Linked DNA regions of Drosophila melanogaster. The protein of the gene in region 1 interacts with the protein of each later gene in a pairwise test. Each region holds a gene or a part of one and is shown on either strand. Other genes may lie near its edges.

The links. The genes of interacting proteins can lie anywhere in the genome.
Region 2: the proteins of Septin1 (region 1) and Pih1D1 interact in a two-hybrid assay, tested with the Drosophila melanogaster proteins (one large-scale study listed by BioGRID).

What each region holds. Positions count from the first base shown.
Region 1 is NC_004354.4:21,356,686-21,363,068, forward strand, and holds Septin1 (septin 1), read left to right. Parts: upstream 1-1,600; 5' UTR 1,601-1,690; coding exon 1,691-1,708; intron 1,709-2,826; coding exon 2,827-3,019; intron 3,020-3,085; coding exon 3,086-3,344; intron 3,345-3,470; coding exon 3,471-3,836; intron 3,837-3,903; coding exon 3,904-4,153; 3' UTR 4,154-5,003; downstream 5,004-6,383. Other genes in the region: sol (small optic lobes), read left to right, coding at 22-288, 360-502, 572-749; waw (waclaw), read left to right, coding at 6,374-6,383. UniProt on the Drosophila melanogaster protein: Involved in cytokinesis. May be involved in p53-dependent apoptosis.
Region 2 is NT_033779.5:12,714,761-12,724,033, reverse strand, and holds the start of Pih1D1 (PIH1 domain containing 1), read left to right. Parts: upstream 1-2,190; 5' UTR 2,191-2,312; coding exon 2,313-2,381; intron 2,382-2,471; coding exon 2,472-2,583; intron 2,584-4,793; exon of another isoform or gene 4,794-4,989; intron 4,990-5,977; coding exon 5,978-8,140; intron 8,141-8,504; coding exon 8,505-9,273. Other genes in the region: MRP (Multidrug-Resistance like protein 1), read right to left, coding at 1-1,475, 1,550-1,603.

The DNA of each region.
Region 1 (6,383 bases):
TAACAATTGCGTTCCATTTAGGTGCGAGGCTTTGTGGGATGCCACAAGATGCTGGAGCGGGACATTTACCTGCTTGTGTGTCTGGCCTTCAACCATTGGCACACGGGCATCGAGGATCCCCACCAGTATCCTCAATGCATCCTAGCGATACACAGCTCCAAGCGTCTGCTGGTGGAGCAGATAAGTCCCTCGCCGCATCTCCTGGCCGACGCTATCATTAGCCTGACCCTAACCAAGGGACAGCGGCACGAGGGGCGCGAGGGGATGACCGCCTACTATCTGACCAAGGCAAGTGATCCGGTTGCGAAGGGATCTAGGGATTCGGTGGCCTTACTAACTCGACCGCATTTCCTTTACAGGGCTGGGCGGGTCTGGTTGTGATGGTGGAAAATAGACATGAGAATAAGTGGATCCATGTGAAATGTGATTGCCAGGAGAGCTACAATGTGGTGTCGACACGCGGCGAACTCAAGACAGTGGACTCTGTGCCCCCGCTGCAGAGGTGGGCTCCCAATCGACCACCTAAAATATTCCCCCAACTAATTGCTTAACGTGTGCTTAACGCTTTCAGACAAGTAATCATCGTTCTCACCCAACTAGAGGGCAGTGGCGGCTTCAGCATCGCCCACCGGCTGACCCATCGTCTGGCGAATTCCCGCGGCCTGCACGACTGGGGGCCACCCGGCGCCACCCACTGCCCGCCCATCGAGAATGTCCATGGACTGCACGCTCCGCGGCTAATCACCTAGAATGGGATAGGGATAGGGATGGATGGCAGTGACGCAATTTCGATGCTACCCCGCGATATGTCGCTGTTCGAATCCTGATTTGCATGCGTCTCCTCTCAATTCTACCCGTCTTCTAGTCGATGTTCTGTTAACGAATCACACATTACAGCGAAAAACCCAAAGTTGAAACCAATCAGCATGCGAAACAATTCATATATATGTGTATAGAGCCGTGCAGATATGATATATGTATGTGTTTATGCACTAAGGCGTATCGGAAAGTGGGAGCAGATCCCCGGTGGGGATACGGCAGAGCCCAGAAGCCCCAGTCCGGAGTCCTAAGGCTAAGGCTCGGCACGATTCGCTTGAGATCCAATGATCTGTGTTTTGATTAGAGCGGCTATGATTGTGGATTATATAGATATGTATTGTGAATTTAAGTGCATCCAATATTAATATGTGTATTGTTTTAAAAATAAAGACTACAAGTTATAAAAGCCACCAATGTGTAAACAATTTCAAATGTGTACGCGCGAATTGGAAAACGATTCAATCAAAATATACCTTACGATACACAATAGATGGCGCCAGGAGATATTCGACATGGTATCTACATAAGATGTTATCTACTGTCAAAAACGCTACGAACTAAATCGTAAATATAGTCCGGGCTTAAATTTCCGATTAATAAAGTGAAATCATAAAAATATAGTCATGATATAATATAAACCATATAAAACCATAATAATTAAATAACTTATTAAATATGGTTACGTTCAACCAGATTTTCAAAAGAAATACCAGCTTGATCTTGTTCAGACGGTCGTCATTTTTGTTTTGCCGCCGAACTGGTCCCACTGGCAGCAGGATTTGCCAGTTGCGCGCTGCGGTCACACTAGTTGCCCTGCTATTTTGTTCGTCATTACGTTGATTTCTTCGTTCGTTTCGTGTTTTTTTTTAAAATGGCCGATACAAAGGGCGTGAGTAGCCGCTGTTCACTTGTCCAAATGCTAATGGCCAACGGCCAGTCCCCCAACGAACTCGATCCGCCGCCAACTGGGCGTGGCGTGCCATCCACTCCTGGTTGCCAGTGCATCAAATGCCGAATGCGGCGCTCCTGTTGATTTGTTTGCCGCTCATCTCGCCGCGCCAGTTCATCGGACACTCCTCCTGCACCGCCCTTTGTCCACTCGGTGGGAGCGGGCATTGCTGAGCGGGAGTGGAGAAGGAAGTGGAAGTAGAAGTCAAGTGATTCACAACATGCCGGTGGCGTCGGCGTTGTTCCTTTGTTCCCGGGACCTCTGCCGCCCTCGCGAAGCAACTTCGGCCGCCCGTGACCCACATGGCAGTGCATTCTGGTGCACGGAGAAATGAGTGCCGTGCCCATAGTTTGGGCGCCCAAGAGAAAACTGATCCGCGCGTGATGGGCATGCAAATCAAGCCAAGCCATCGCTTTCTAAGACCCAAAACCCTAACTACCAGACATTAGCTCAACCCAACTGAGTTGGGTTACGAGTTAATAAGGCATATGGAATACTTTCAATCACTTGTCCATTTTGGGTCATATCCTTGAACCCATTTCTTAACTCAACTCAACTTTCTCTTCATGAGATGCAAGTTTTTACTATTCCCAAAAGTGTTTTACCGAGAAACATAGTTCCAATTAATTGGTAGATAAATTGATCGACCGCAGATATATGTACAATATTACTATGATTTATCGTCAGTCTGCATTGCATGGTTTTATAGCTTAATCAGCATAGGCTGACCCACTTAATTATTCGCATATGTATTCATATGTATAGAACACAATGCACGGCACATTTAGTTAATATGCAATTCGTTAAGATTATAATTTCCATATGCAAAAAAGTCCACATTTGTTTCGCCTTTAAACGTTCCAGAAATAGTGCTGATATTGAACTGAGTAATTCTTGGTTTTGCAAGCAATGTTTGATTGTTTACCTGTTCTGAAATTAAAGGCATTACCTATCTAGTAGATTCTCAGAAAGTTTCTAATATTAATTATTTTTATTTATATATGAAGCCTAGGACTTTTGGTTCTCTATACTAATGTTATTCACCTATTCTCGTGCAGTTTTCCAGCATCGAGACGCCCGGCTATGTGGGCTTCGCCAACCTGCCCAACCAGGTGCATCGAAAGTCCGTGAAAAAGGGATTCGAGTTCACCCTAATGGTGGTGGGCGAGTCCGGACTGGGCAAGTCCACGCTGGTCAATAGTCTCTTTCTCACCGATCTCTATCCCGAGCGCATTATTCCGGACGCCATAGGTGGGCATAGTCTTTCGTCATCACTCGCTTTGATTACTCATCCAGGAAACCATTCCCCTCTTGCAGAGAAACAAAAGCAAACCGTAAAGCTGGAGGCATCGACGGTGGAGATCGAGGAGCGCGGCGTCAAGCTAAGATTGACGGTGGTGGACACACCCGGATTCGGCGATGCCATCGACAACTCCAACAGCTTTGGTGCCATACTCGAGTACATCGATGAGCAATACGAGCGCTTCCTGCGCGACGAGAGCGGCCTGAACAGACGCAACATTGTGGACAATCGCATTCACTGCTGTTTCTACTTTATATCGCCGTTCGGTCATGGGTGCGTTCCTTTTCCGTTTAACTTTTGAACATTTAATATTAAAAATAAGGAGTTCAAAGCTCAGTAGTGTTGCAAATTGTATAATAGAAAGTATAAACGAAGTATCACATCAATTTTTGTACCCAGCCTAAAACCCCTGGACGTAGAGTTCATGAAGAAGCTGCACTCTAAAGTTAACATTGTGCCCGTGATCGCAAAGGCCGATTGTCTCACAAAGAAGGAGATCCTGCGCCTGAAGTGCCGCATTATGCAGGAGATCGAGAGCCACGGCATCAAGATCTACCCACTGCCAGACTGTGATTCCGATGAGGACGAGGACTACAAGGAGCAGGTGAAGCAACTTAAGGAAGCTGTGCCTTTCGCCGTCTGCGGCGCCAACACACTGCTCGAGGTCAAGGGCAAGAAGGTGCGCGGTCGTCTGTATCCATGGGGCGTGGTCGAGGTAGAGAATCCCGATCACTGCGACTTCATCAAGCTGCGCACGATGCTCATGTAAGTGAAGCAAATATTCCAATATCTGATTGCTTATTAACTAACCACCTATCCCGCTGCCCCACAGCACCCACATGCAGGACCTGCAGGAGGTCACGCAGGAGGTGCACTACGAAAACTACCGCTCCGACCGCCTCGCCAAGGGCATCAAGGGCAAGGAGAACGGCGTGAAGGCCGAGCGGGACAGCAGCTCGCAGGTGGTGTCGAACAGCGTGCTCGGCGAGAAGGACCGCATCCTGCAAGAGAAGGAGGCCGAGCTGCGGCGCATGCAGGAGATGCTCGCCCAGATGCAGGCGCGCATGCAGGCCCAGCAGTGAGCAGGCGGGTATATCTTTTATATACGCGCTTGGCGGAGGCGGCAATCTCTAGTTATACACAAGTCGTATATATACACATATACAAAACATATATTTTGTACGCAGATTTTGGTTGCGATCGCGCTTTAATTCTACTCTCAATTGTGAAACGACGGGCGCTAAGTATTCTGTATTAATTTCGCATTCTCCATATATATATATCCGTAGTATCTAGATATACACACCACATACATTTATACACACATCTAACTTACACCTGCCGCGTATGCAAATGCCTGCAATGCAATTGCTTCATCAGAAAAACAAAGAACATAAGGAACACCAACCATCAGCGAACTCATATCACTTCTATCAAGCGAAACCACACACGAAAACAATTGTATTCCTATTATGTATTTAGACGCGATTAACAATGAATTATTATTGTAATACGCATCTAGGCTAAGCGAATCCAATCCGATTTATATTGTATGTTAATTCATTTTTGTCTGTTTACCTTACCCTTATCTGTGTTGTCTCAAAGCGAGCAATTTATTTAGGTTATACTATATGTTGCGTGTCAGCCTGCCCTTCCGATCCTTCTTGACCTCCATGGTCCGCTGTCCTGCAGTGCCGCCCGATTCCTAAGCACGATCTGATTGAATAAACAGTGATCCCTTCCTAGGCGGTCCCGGGAACCCATGGCCAGTTGCGGAAACTCGGTTTAGCAGGCTACTCGCTTAAAAGTGCACTCCTTTAACGGATGAAACAAAAACCAAAATGTGAAATCTCTTTTATTATGTATATGAAGACTTTTTTAACTCAATATAATCCTCTATGAATATATAAATATGCTTTTTATACAATTTGTAAGCCAGACCGTCTTATGCATTTTCTTGTAGTCTCCCATTTACTCAAAGTGTAAGGGGGCATACTATTTGTATTCTTGAGGAGATCACTAGCCGACTCCATCCAGTTACATATGTATGTACATATATGTACGTCTGTCCGTATGAGCGTCAATATCTCGGAAACTTTAACAAGCCGAATGTTCCAACTGCCAAGCCCATTTGTTTGTTTGATAAGTTTACTTTTGTTGTATTTCAATAACAATAGTTAGGCATTCATATCCTTTAGATACATTTGCAGTTGTGTTCGCCTGATGCCTGGCAAAATCTTAACCTTTTAGACACTTTTCACAACTGCTTGTCTTGCTTTTTTAGAGCGAAACCAAAATGCTCATTCAACGTATGCATTCGAAAACACAAGCAAGCACAAGAGTAACATTGCGAGATTTCACTATCAGCTTTTCCAATCACATTGGCATTATTGTTAGTAGAACAAAAGTTTTACTTGTACATATTTGTCAAGCGTTCGTCGAAAGAGCTTAAGGATCCTCACAACCTCAAGTATCCCTAGTTCAACCCATACTTGAGTATTGTCCGTGTGTATGGTCTCCTCAACACGTCTAGCATCAAGGTCTTGTGGAATCGGTACAGGGACACAGCCAGGATAATCCCTACCATCCCATCAATCATTCTCATGAAAAGAAGACTTATTTTTTCGAGACGAAAACGATCTCTATGTTGGATACATATTTTAGACGGAAGCAGTATCGGGTTTCAGATTGTAGAAGATGATGTGTGGGTAAGGTTAAAAAACCAAGAAAGAGATCGAAAAATAAGAGCAAAGTCAGTTGCAATCTGAGAATGGTTCGATCTCGACCTGAGTATGCTGAGCATGATTCGATCTTGGCTAGATTTTGAGATCGAAGTTCTTAAATCGAGATCGTTGAGAACGGCTTTTTCTCTGACTGTGCTGAGGTCAAACCCCCTTTTTCTGGAACCAGCAGTTCCTCCAGCTCCCTTGCTGGTCTATTACAATTACCATTTACCATTGTAAGCTGTTCCAAGAAAAGAACCTCGGCTTCTAGAAATCGAATCTCGCAGCGATGACTTCCTCACGAAAGCAGTTGAAAAAACAGAATATTTATGATATATAGCTCAATATTTCGGACTTTCTTACTTGTTTATTTATGAATATAAACCTATAGGCAATCTGAGATCTAGGAGCATTACGATCTTTCGCTTAAGAATATGTTTAATTTGCATCCGAGAACAAATTAGTAAAGGATTATTGAGTTGTAAATATTTGTTCATGTGTAAACATCGGTTTTCGTAGATTGCCAACAGATGGCGCTGTTTGTCACAAGATGGACAGTATTTTCCTGCTGTCTTACACATGATTGTCG
Region 2 (9,273 bases), on another chromosome or scaffold:
CGCTCATCTTTGTACTTCATCTGTCTGATCTGATAGGTCTTGATGCGACTGGCAATCACTCCGTTCACAGGGATCAGGATAATCATCACAGCCAAACCGGCCAGCACAGACGGTCCCAGTTGCTGCCAAAGGAAATACAGGGCTAGACCGATCTGCAGTGGCGCCGACCAGATCATGTTTAAGTAGGTTGTCAGTTCCATGAATCGCTGGGCATCCACGGCCATCAGGTTGACGATCTCGCCCACGGTGGACTCCTTTTTGGTGGAGTTCGAAATGCGCAGGGCCTTGCGGTAGATGGCATTGATCAAAGCTGTCCTGATTCGCAGGCCCACAATGAACATTCGGTGGAAATATTGCCCCAGAATAAAGGTCTGTGCAGCGGCCAAAACGAAAAGCAGGACAGCGTATAAGATACCCTTCCATTCGGGCTCGGCATCTTGGGCCTCGACGAAGCTGATGATCAAACTCAGGACTTGGGGCTGGGCAAATGTCAGGGTGTCGGTGAACAGCTTCATTAGGGCGCCGAACAGAAAGACGCCTCCGAAGGACTTGTAAATTGGCGGCATAATACTGGCCATGCCCTTCTTGCGGCCATTCTTCTCACCGTGGGGATTCTCAAAGGTCACGTTGCCATTGCTAAACTGCGCCTTGGGTTCTACGCGCGCCTTGTTCTTGTAGTTCTTGCGCACGTTCTGGTTCCAGTGGTGGGCGAAGATGGGCATGACCTCGGAGCAGCTGTCCTGCGGCCTCAGGTCCCACAGATCCTTCTCCTCCAGCGGGTTGCGATAGCCCTTGAGGGCCATTTTGTCGAACCACTGATAGGTGATGCGGGAAAGGAAACTGGCTGACAGTTCGGGAATCTCGTTCTCACCCCTCTGGTACTTGGTTTGTCTGGGCATTCCGTCCGCGAAGCAGTTCAGGATCAGCATAATGCTGGTGAAGGTGAAGAAGATAAAGAAGCTAACGAACTGATACTCCTCCCAGGAAAAGTCCTGCTCGGATGGCTGTTGCGAATTCAGAATCTTCTGGCGCTCCGCGTCCAGTCGAACTTCAGTGCGGCAGCGGGGAATCGACAGCACAGTGAGCAGGAACCAGAAGATGAACTGACATCCCGTGGTCTGCACGCCATACTTTCGATTCAGCGGGATGAATATGAAGAGCAACAGGAAGGTGGCGAACTTGATGATGGGACCCCAAACATCCAGGTCGTAGAGCGGCAGCTCAGAGTCGCCGCCCTTCTTGACCAGCGCCATAATTAGGTCCAGGGCAGTGATTACCAGCAGACCCAGATTCACCAGAGCTTTGCTCACGTTCAGCTTGTTCCACGGTATATTCCTGTCCAAACTCGCCTTCAGGTAGTAAAAGTCAAAGATCACGAACGCCCAGTAGAAGGCGCAGGGTGTCCAGACCAGCGCCGTTTGCTCAAAGCAGGGCGTAAAGTCCGGATCGTTGGTATACCATGTCTCTGTTGCGTTCTGTTCGTTGGACACACGGAAACCATACATTTACACTATGCATTCGGATTGAACACCACTGCTGATGCACTCACCCAGAACGTGGATCCGCAGAATCTGTCCATCGGCGAACTAGTGTCATCCGCCATGGTTACTCGACTGCTCGGCAACCTCCTCCACGTGCAATTGGGCTATATGCGTATGCTATATCGGGCGATGTGGTAACTGTAAAGCGGCAAGGAAATAAACGGATCTATATTTTCGGGCCAACAGCTGTTCCTTCCCAAGCCGCACAACTACAACAACCGCTAATCGTGACAGTGGGAAGTTGATTGCTAGTATTTTTCTGGTATTTCGCGGGCACAGTGGGTGTCGGATGGAAAATGAGTGTATAATTCTGCACTGCGTGTTATTTTAATTGTTTATATTGATTTAAGTGAAACTTGTAATTTTTGTACATAAATTATTAAAATACATTTGCTTGGAAAACTTAGTAGAAGCAAGTAGAAATCAATTGCATTTGCAACAGCAAAAATACAAATGAATTTCTTAAATTTGGATTAAGCTTTTAAAGTTTCATATAGAAATTCATAGCAATTATTCTCGAAAATTCTTGTCATTTACTTTTTATTAATGAGCACCCTGTACAGGGAAAACGCCTATCTAGTATTTTTAGCCTATCGCATGGCATTAAATGTTTTTCCACCGGCGTTCACACTGTCACATTAGTTTTCATTTCAATCGAGTTGACAGCTCCATTCTGGCAAATAAAATTTGCGTTTTTCGCTCGTCGCTCAGCGCAAAAATAGCATTTGCATTGGATTAACTCGTAACTGGCAATTGAAATCGTGCAGCAAAATGTCGCGTCGTTCCAATTTCATTGAGGGCAACGACAATTTTCGCGACCAGAACCTGCGCTTTGTGCGGGTAAGCAAAACTTGAGAAATTCGATGTGAGGAACTATCTGCGCCACTAAAGATGAACTTGTTTTTTTTTTTTTTCATTTTCTAAATGCAGAACGAGTTTGAGGACAATATTAACCAGTACTTTGGAGGCGCCGATCCGGAGGGCAGCGGCCCGCAGCAGAAACCGCCGCCGCGAGACTCGCTGATTGTCCAGCCGACCGCAGGTAAGTGGCGTCCATTGCAACAGCCGGAGCTTCACATGGCACAGCAATCGCTGCCGGTGGCGCGGAGAATCTAACCGGAGATTACAGCCAGCTAGTAGTAGGCATGACTCTGGGTTTATGGTCTACTTAGCACTTGTGTGTGCACAGTAATCTCTGCGAGCGCGGAACCATGTCAACCTGATAAACATCTCACGTCGACGTCGATTGCGCGTAATCGCTCGGGGTGGTACAGTGAACCCGCGATAAGGCGAACAAACGCACGCGAATGGAACACGTCATAGGACAGAAAAACCCATCCTAACGAATCTTCGACAAGACTTTAAAAACCAATTACGAATATTGAAAACATATCCGAATTACTTGTATTTAAAATTGAATCAATTGCTCTAAATTTTTTAATTAATTCCGTAAGTTAACTATAGTTTGTGCACACTTTTTGTATATTCAAATTTCCAATCTTTTAATGGTTATTAATTAGTATTTTGCACTTAACTATTGGATAATTCGTCAAAACAAAGGCAAAAAATCAATTATCCAAACAAATCAGTTTAATTCCTATGCACACTATTATTTGACAAACTATCTATCGTATTGAAACAAAAAGAGGGTTGAGCGGGTAGTTAGTACGAAGTTTTGTAATCTAGCCGTCGTTATTGTGCGCTACGGCAGTTAAGTGTTTACATGTCCAGGGCCACTTGGAGGAAGGTCTAATCGCGCCCACTTGAAACGATAGTTTATAGTCCAGCGAGATTGTACAATGCCAATGACAAATGAGCGACTAAAACGTGTTTCCCCGCCTCGAAGAAGAACTAATTTACACAGAGATACACACAACTAAAAAGAAGGAATGAGAAACTTTAAGCGAATCTTGAACGGAGCTCATAAAAGGTATTGGGCTAGTCACATTTTATGGGCGCCAAAAACTTGTTTGCCCCGTACACGCATGTGTTTTAAGCCATTTGACTTTAGATAAAATTCTAACACATCTGAAACGAGTATTTTCAGTTCGATATAATTAACGGCGAAACCTGTTCCCGCAGCGATTATATAAGCACAAAACAATCGGCAGAAAAAACCCCCTTACAAAACCTAATATTTCAATTGTACGAAATGTGTGTGTTTTGCCTTTACACCCAAGTGAAATTTCTCTTTAAAAACAAAAACGTCGACTCACGATGAGATGCTAAGCAAAATGGCATGGAGATCTCTTGGCTGCACCATAAAATCAAGGAGAAAACCTGACAATTTTCTCAGCAAAAAACGCCACTCTCTTCACAACCTGACTGACACACACGGTTTGTTTGTTCTGGATCAGATCATGCCAGCCGGCACAAATTGTTTACACCGCCAAAGAAGAGTGATTTATTTACAGAATATCAACGACACTCGACACTTGATGACTTTTATTAATAGGGAAAAAGCTGAGATAAGGCTGACTGGCTGCATTTAGCCAAGTGTGCAAACTCTGGAGAAAACAACTTCCACATAGCGAGAATGATTATACGAGCAGCTCCTTATCGGGGACCCCACAGCTGAACCTTATCGTGTGTGCTGCCTGTTGCTGTCCCCCTACTAGACTCTTCCATTGTGTTTGTCGTTGCTCCAGTTATGAATTGCACATCGTAAACCCTATATTGCTCCTAATCGCACACTTGTTTGCTCCACTTGCTGCTGATTCTGAGTCCTTGGAGCTTGATTACCATCGGACTGGGCGAGAAGCTGTCGAACCCACAGATCGTAGGCCATCTTTCAAGGCCTGTGACGTCAGTGGAACCCACGAGGCAATTAACTTCAAATTTGTTCGTACGAACAGCAGTACGACAACCTTGCGCACCACAATTTTTACACTTTTTCTGTTATCAATTAAATAATCGAGCTGCGAGCATGACAAAACACTTAACCATATCAAACTACTTTGAATGTGAATCATCGATTTCTCGTCAGTTCTTTTTTTTTTTTTTCGTATTTCTTTCGTTTGCTGAGAAATGTTTGCGCGGGATATTCTGGAGCCTTTCGGAAATTTCACAATTTCAGGCAAAGAATGTGGACACACAGAGATAGATACACAACACATAGATACGAACGCACACTGGCACACTTGTTCCGCTTTGGCGGAATCCAACAACCACATATCAACAAGGGTATCAAAAATGGACGGCGGTGGTTGTTGTTGGCGGTATCGATGCGACTGAAATGTCACTTATAATTACCTCTACGTAGAAAAAAACTCGCTGCGATTCAAACGAATCGGTTGTGGGGGATCGGAGTGAATAGAATCGAATCGAAACAAAACGAGCCGTAGCGGTTGAGGTCGGATCGCTATTTGGATTTGGATGGAGGGCAGCGTCGGCGGAGCACTTCAAAATCGACGGACAACCGGCTCGTTACGAGCAAAAAGGCAAACTGAATTCGAAGCGAGCGCTGCGAACAAACTTATTTGTTTTCCGCGCTTTCCGTGCTCAAAAAAAAAACAACAAAAATGAGATAATAGCGCCACCTCGGAGAGCGTTTAACTTGGCTCTTTTTGTGGCGCTGACTGCCTGGTGGCCGCCCGATCAATTAAAACCCCCTGCCATCAAAGCACCCGACTCTCCAATAATGCCAAGTTTGTCCAGAATAAAACCCAGCTGAAAGATACCGACTCTCTTTCCTGATTTTAAGTGCCGATTTAAACATATTTTCCTGCTCTGGTGAAATTATTCTGAACCGAAATGGACACACGACGCGACTCTTAAACGTTTTGTTGTCGCAAGAGCAACAAAAGTGGGCCGAAATGATAACGATATCAACAGTAGTCATACAATTAAGAGCATTTAATGGGTGTTTGGTTGCGAATTCTTCACGATTTTGGTATAAGCATGACCATACCTATTGATTATCAGTTTATTGTGTGTTTGATGCCATAAATGTATAATTACTGAGTAGTTTCTTAACAACTACAACTACAGGATTTGCTGCTATGCATTTCGAAAGTACACACCAATAGAATAGAATTCTGTGATAGAATTTCTAATCTAATCAATTTAGATGTTTAATTTAAAATATGAGATAGTGGCAGTGCTTAGTGTTTATAGATTGACAAAAAATCAAACATCAAACTTAGTCAGCATTTTGATAACGACTGAAAAGGCAATCAAGTAGTAATGCAATTGAAATTATCATTTTTTTTTGTGTTGTACAATTTGTTAAAGCAATTAAAGGGTGGGAAGAAATGCAAAACAAAGCAAATCTATTATAGATTTAAACTAAAATTTGTATGCATATTTTCAGTGAGCATTGTCGTCATGAGTAGATTAGATTGGAATTGGTTTGCTAAACGTGACCACATAGCTCTAACCTAAAACGTGTCTGCTTTTTTAAATTTTAAATTTCATATGTGGTACCATGAAAATAGCCAACAGCGAGCTGGACAATCGGCGCCAATTTCTCCGTGACCTGGGCGCCAGTCGGGTGTTGGCCAACGCCTTGGCGCAGCGCACCTTCAATGTGCCCAAGTTCAACCTGCGCCATTTCCAGCGCCAGAGGTTCCGCCTCAGCGTCGAGCTGGGCGACAGTCACCAGGATGTGGTGGACAAGGAGGTGCTCCAAGCCATCGAGGAAGCGGTGGCTAGCCACGACGACGTCGAGTCGCGGCCACGCACTCCGTCGCCGCCGCGGAACATTGATTGGCACAGCGCCAGGATGAATAACTCACCGGCTAATAAGGATCGATCGCGTTCTAGGAATCGTCAGAGAGAGGAAAATTTCCCAAACAACAATCGCGGAGTTGTGGAACAACGGGAGCCAATCAATAGGAATTGTGGACCCGTAAATCGCAATAATCCTGGCATGAATCCTGCTGAGTTCAATCGCAATCGTTATGCAAATGCGCAGGACTTTAATCGAAATAATCGAAATATGGACAGAAGTGAATTCAATCAAAATAATCGCAATTTCAACCGAAATGAGGGTTCACGTCCCAATCCACAGGATTTCAATCGTCCCAATAGAAATCAAAATCCACAGGATTTCAATCGTCCCAATAGAAACCAAAATCCACAGGATTTCAATCGTTCCAATAGAAATCAAAATCCACAGGATTTCAATCGATCTAATAGAAATCAAAACCCCCAGGATTTCAATCGTCCCAATAGAAATCAAAATCCACAGGATTTCAATCGCAATAATCGTAATGCCTATCCGCATGAATTCAATCGTAATATCCGAAATGATAACGAGCAGGAATTTAATCACAATCGTAATGCAGTCAATGATGAATTCAATCGCAATACTCGTAATGTTAACAACCAAGCATTCCCTCAAGGACATAACCATAACAATCGTAATGCGAATGCACAATTCAATCGCAAAACTTTTGACGAGAACCCAAACTTTAATAACCAACGTTTTCAAGGACCAAATCACCAGATCAACTATCGTGTTCAGATGCCAAACAATGATCATTCCCAAGTAAACAACAATCGCAGGCCTGGTAATCAGAACTTCGTTTCGAATCAGCAACCCAACTTGGATCGTAATGCTATAAGCGATGACGGCATTCAGCTGCCAAGAGATCGATTCCGTTCGCCTGAAGCGCATCCAAAACAACCACCATATCCACGTAATGTGAACGCTGACCAGGTTGGAAACCGTGGACCCCAAAAGAGGCACAATTATCAGCGTATTGTGAATGACAATCAAATAATACTACGTCGCACCGACTGGACTGACGAAGAAGAGGATCTAGATCTAGAACACCATGATATAGACGACTATATACCCGATGAACGCGAATTTCTTGAAGATGATGCCGATTTCATCGATGACACAAATGATACACTTATGAATGATGATCAGTATGAGGGTTACCACTCAAGGGGTAATCAACACTACATCCAAGATCATAACATCGATGATCGTAATTCATATGGACGCAATCGCAACGATCGTAACTTTGAGGGCATTAGGCGCCAGTTTGATCCAGAACTCGATCGACGCAACTTAAACGACAACTTCAATCAGCGAAACAACTATTCGCGTGGCGGTGACACCGTACGCTTTCCCCGAAGGGAGGATGACACATTCCAAGGCTCAAATAACCCTAATTTTCCACCGAACTATCCAAACACTATTCTCCGTGGATCGGGTTCTGGAAATCGTTGCCGCGATACGAGCTCTAACAGACCCATGGGTCCCAATCAAAACAGACGAAGCCGCCTACCAAATGCTGATGAAGCTGCTCCAAGTGTGGCCCATTCTGGGGGTCCCATACAAGATGGAACTAATTTAAATCGTAGAATCAATAAAAATTTAAATCCTGGCAAGGGGCCAGATCGCATCAATGCTGGGACTCCTAATCAACCCAGATCCAAGTCAACCACATCTCAAACTCGAAATCTAAATCCTGATATTCCAAACAAAATGGTCAAGAAGTCGGCGGTTCCACAAGACAATCGTGCACCGCAACCAAACAAACCTATGAACACCAATCCTGGTGCATCCAAACCTGGTCAGTCGGTAATCAAACCGAAACTACAGGCAACCAAGATCAACGCGGCCATGGCGAAACCGCTCGCTGGTAAGGGATAAACTTTTGAATTCTTAATAAATTAAAAATTTGATACAAACCAATTACAAGCTAGCTTATAGAGCTTTTGTATTGGTTTTAAAGTGTATAAATGATTTTAAAGCCACATTTGGAATGCAAACCCGTTAAAAATATATCCCTTTTTTTTCAAATGCCTTAAATTAAGGATCGTACTCTAGCTACAAGAATTTTTGATAAACCAGTTTTGAAACACATTTTCTTGGTTTCAAACCCGATTCGAAGTTATCAACTGCATTTCATACTTCAAGAAGCTAGTCATAAATATGCTTTTGTTTGGTTTGCATTCCGAAATTATCGGGTATACCCAAAAAACAATACATGTTCAATTTTGCAGGGATAAAAAGAAAAGCTGAGACTACTCCAAAGTTAGGGGGGGCTACCAAAGCCGGGCCAAAACGCCAGAGAGCGGATCGAACAGATCGCAGCTTCATTATAGGCGGCATTAGTCTGCCCTATATCAACAGCAATACCAAGAAGCTGCCACAGCCGGAGGAGCAGTCATACGCGGTGACCTTCTTCGAGCAAACGCCCAACTACAACACCAACATATATGCCATCGACGATGGCCATGTTGATGAAGACGAAGGTGATGGGGACGACGAGGAAATGTCCGATGCCGAATCTCTGGACTCGAACCGATCCGGTGTTCTGTCCAAGTGGAAAGGACGCAGTTCGAAGAAGAAGGTGCGCACCCAGTTGCGCAAGGAATGGACAAAAATCTATAGAACCAATAACTACAAGGACTGGCACGCCTGGTGGCGGGATTTCAAGTGGTGCGGCAGCGAGATTAACAAAAAGCTAGAGAAGTTCGGCGATCGCAATCTGCGCCACCGCTTTGCCCCCATCGGCCGGAAACCGATGACCGGAAAGACGATCAATCAGATTTTTAAATCGGGCCACATGGGTCTGGAGAAGAACACCTTTAGCCACTACCGCAATATGCGTTCGATTTTCCTACTGATGAACGAAAAGTTCCTCAACAGTTTGTCTGATGAGCAATTGGAACAGTTGCAGGACTTGATACGTGGCGTTCCAAATCACTTGTGGCTCTACAAGATCCGCAGCATGGTCTACCTTTGGGAAAGGTACCATGGCACTCTTAA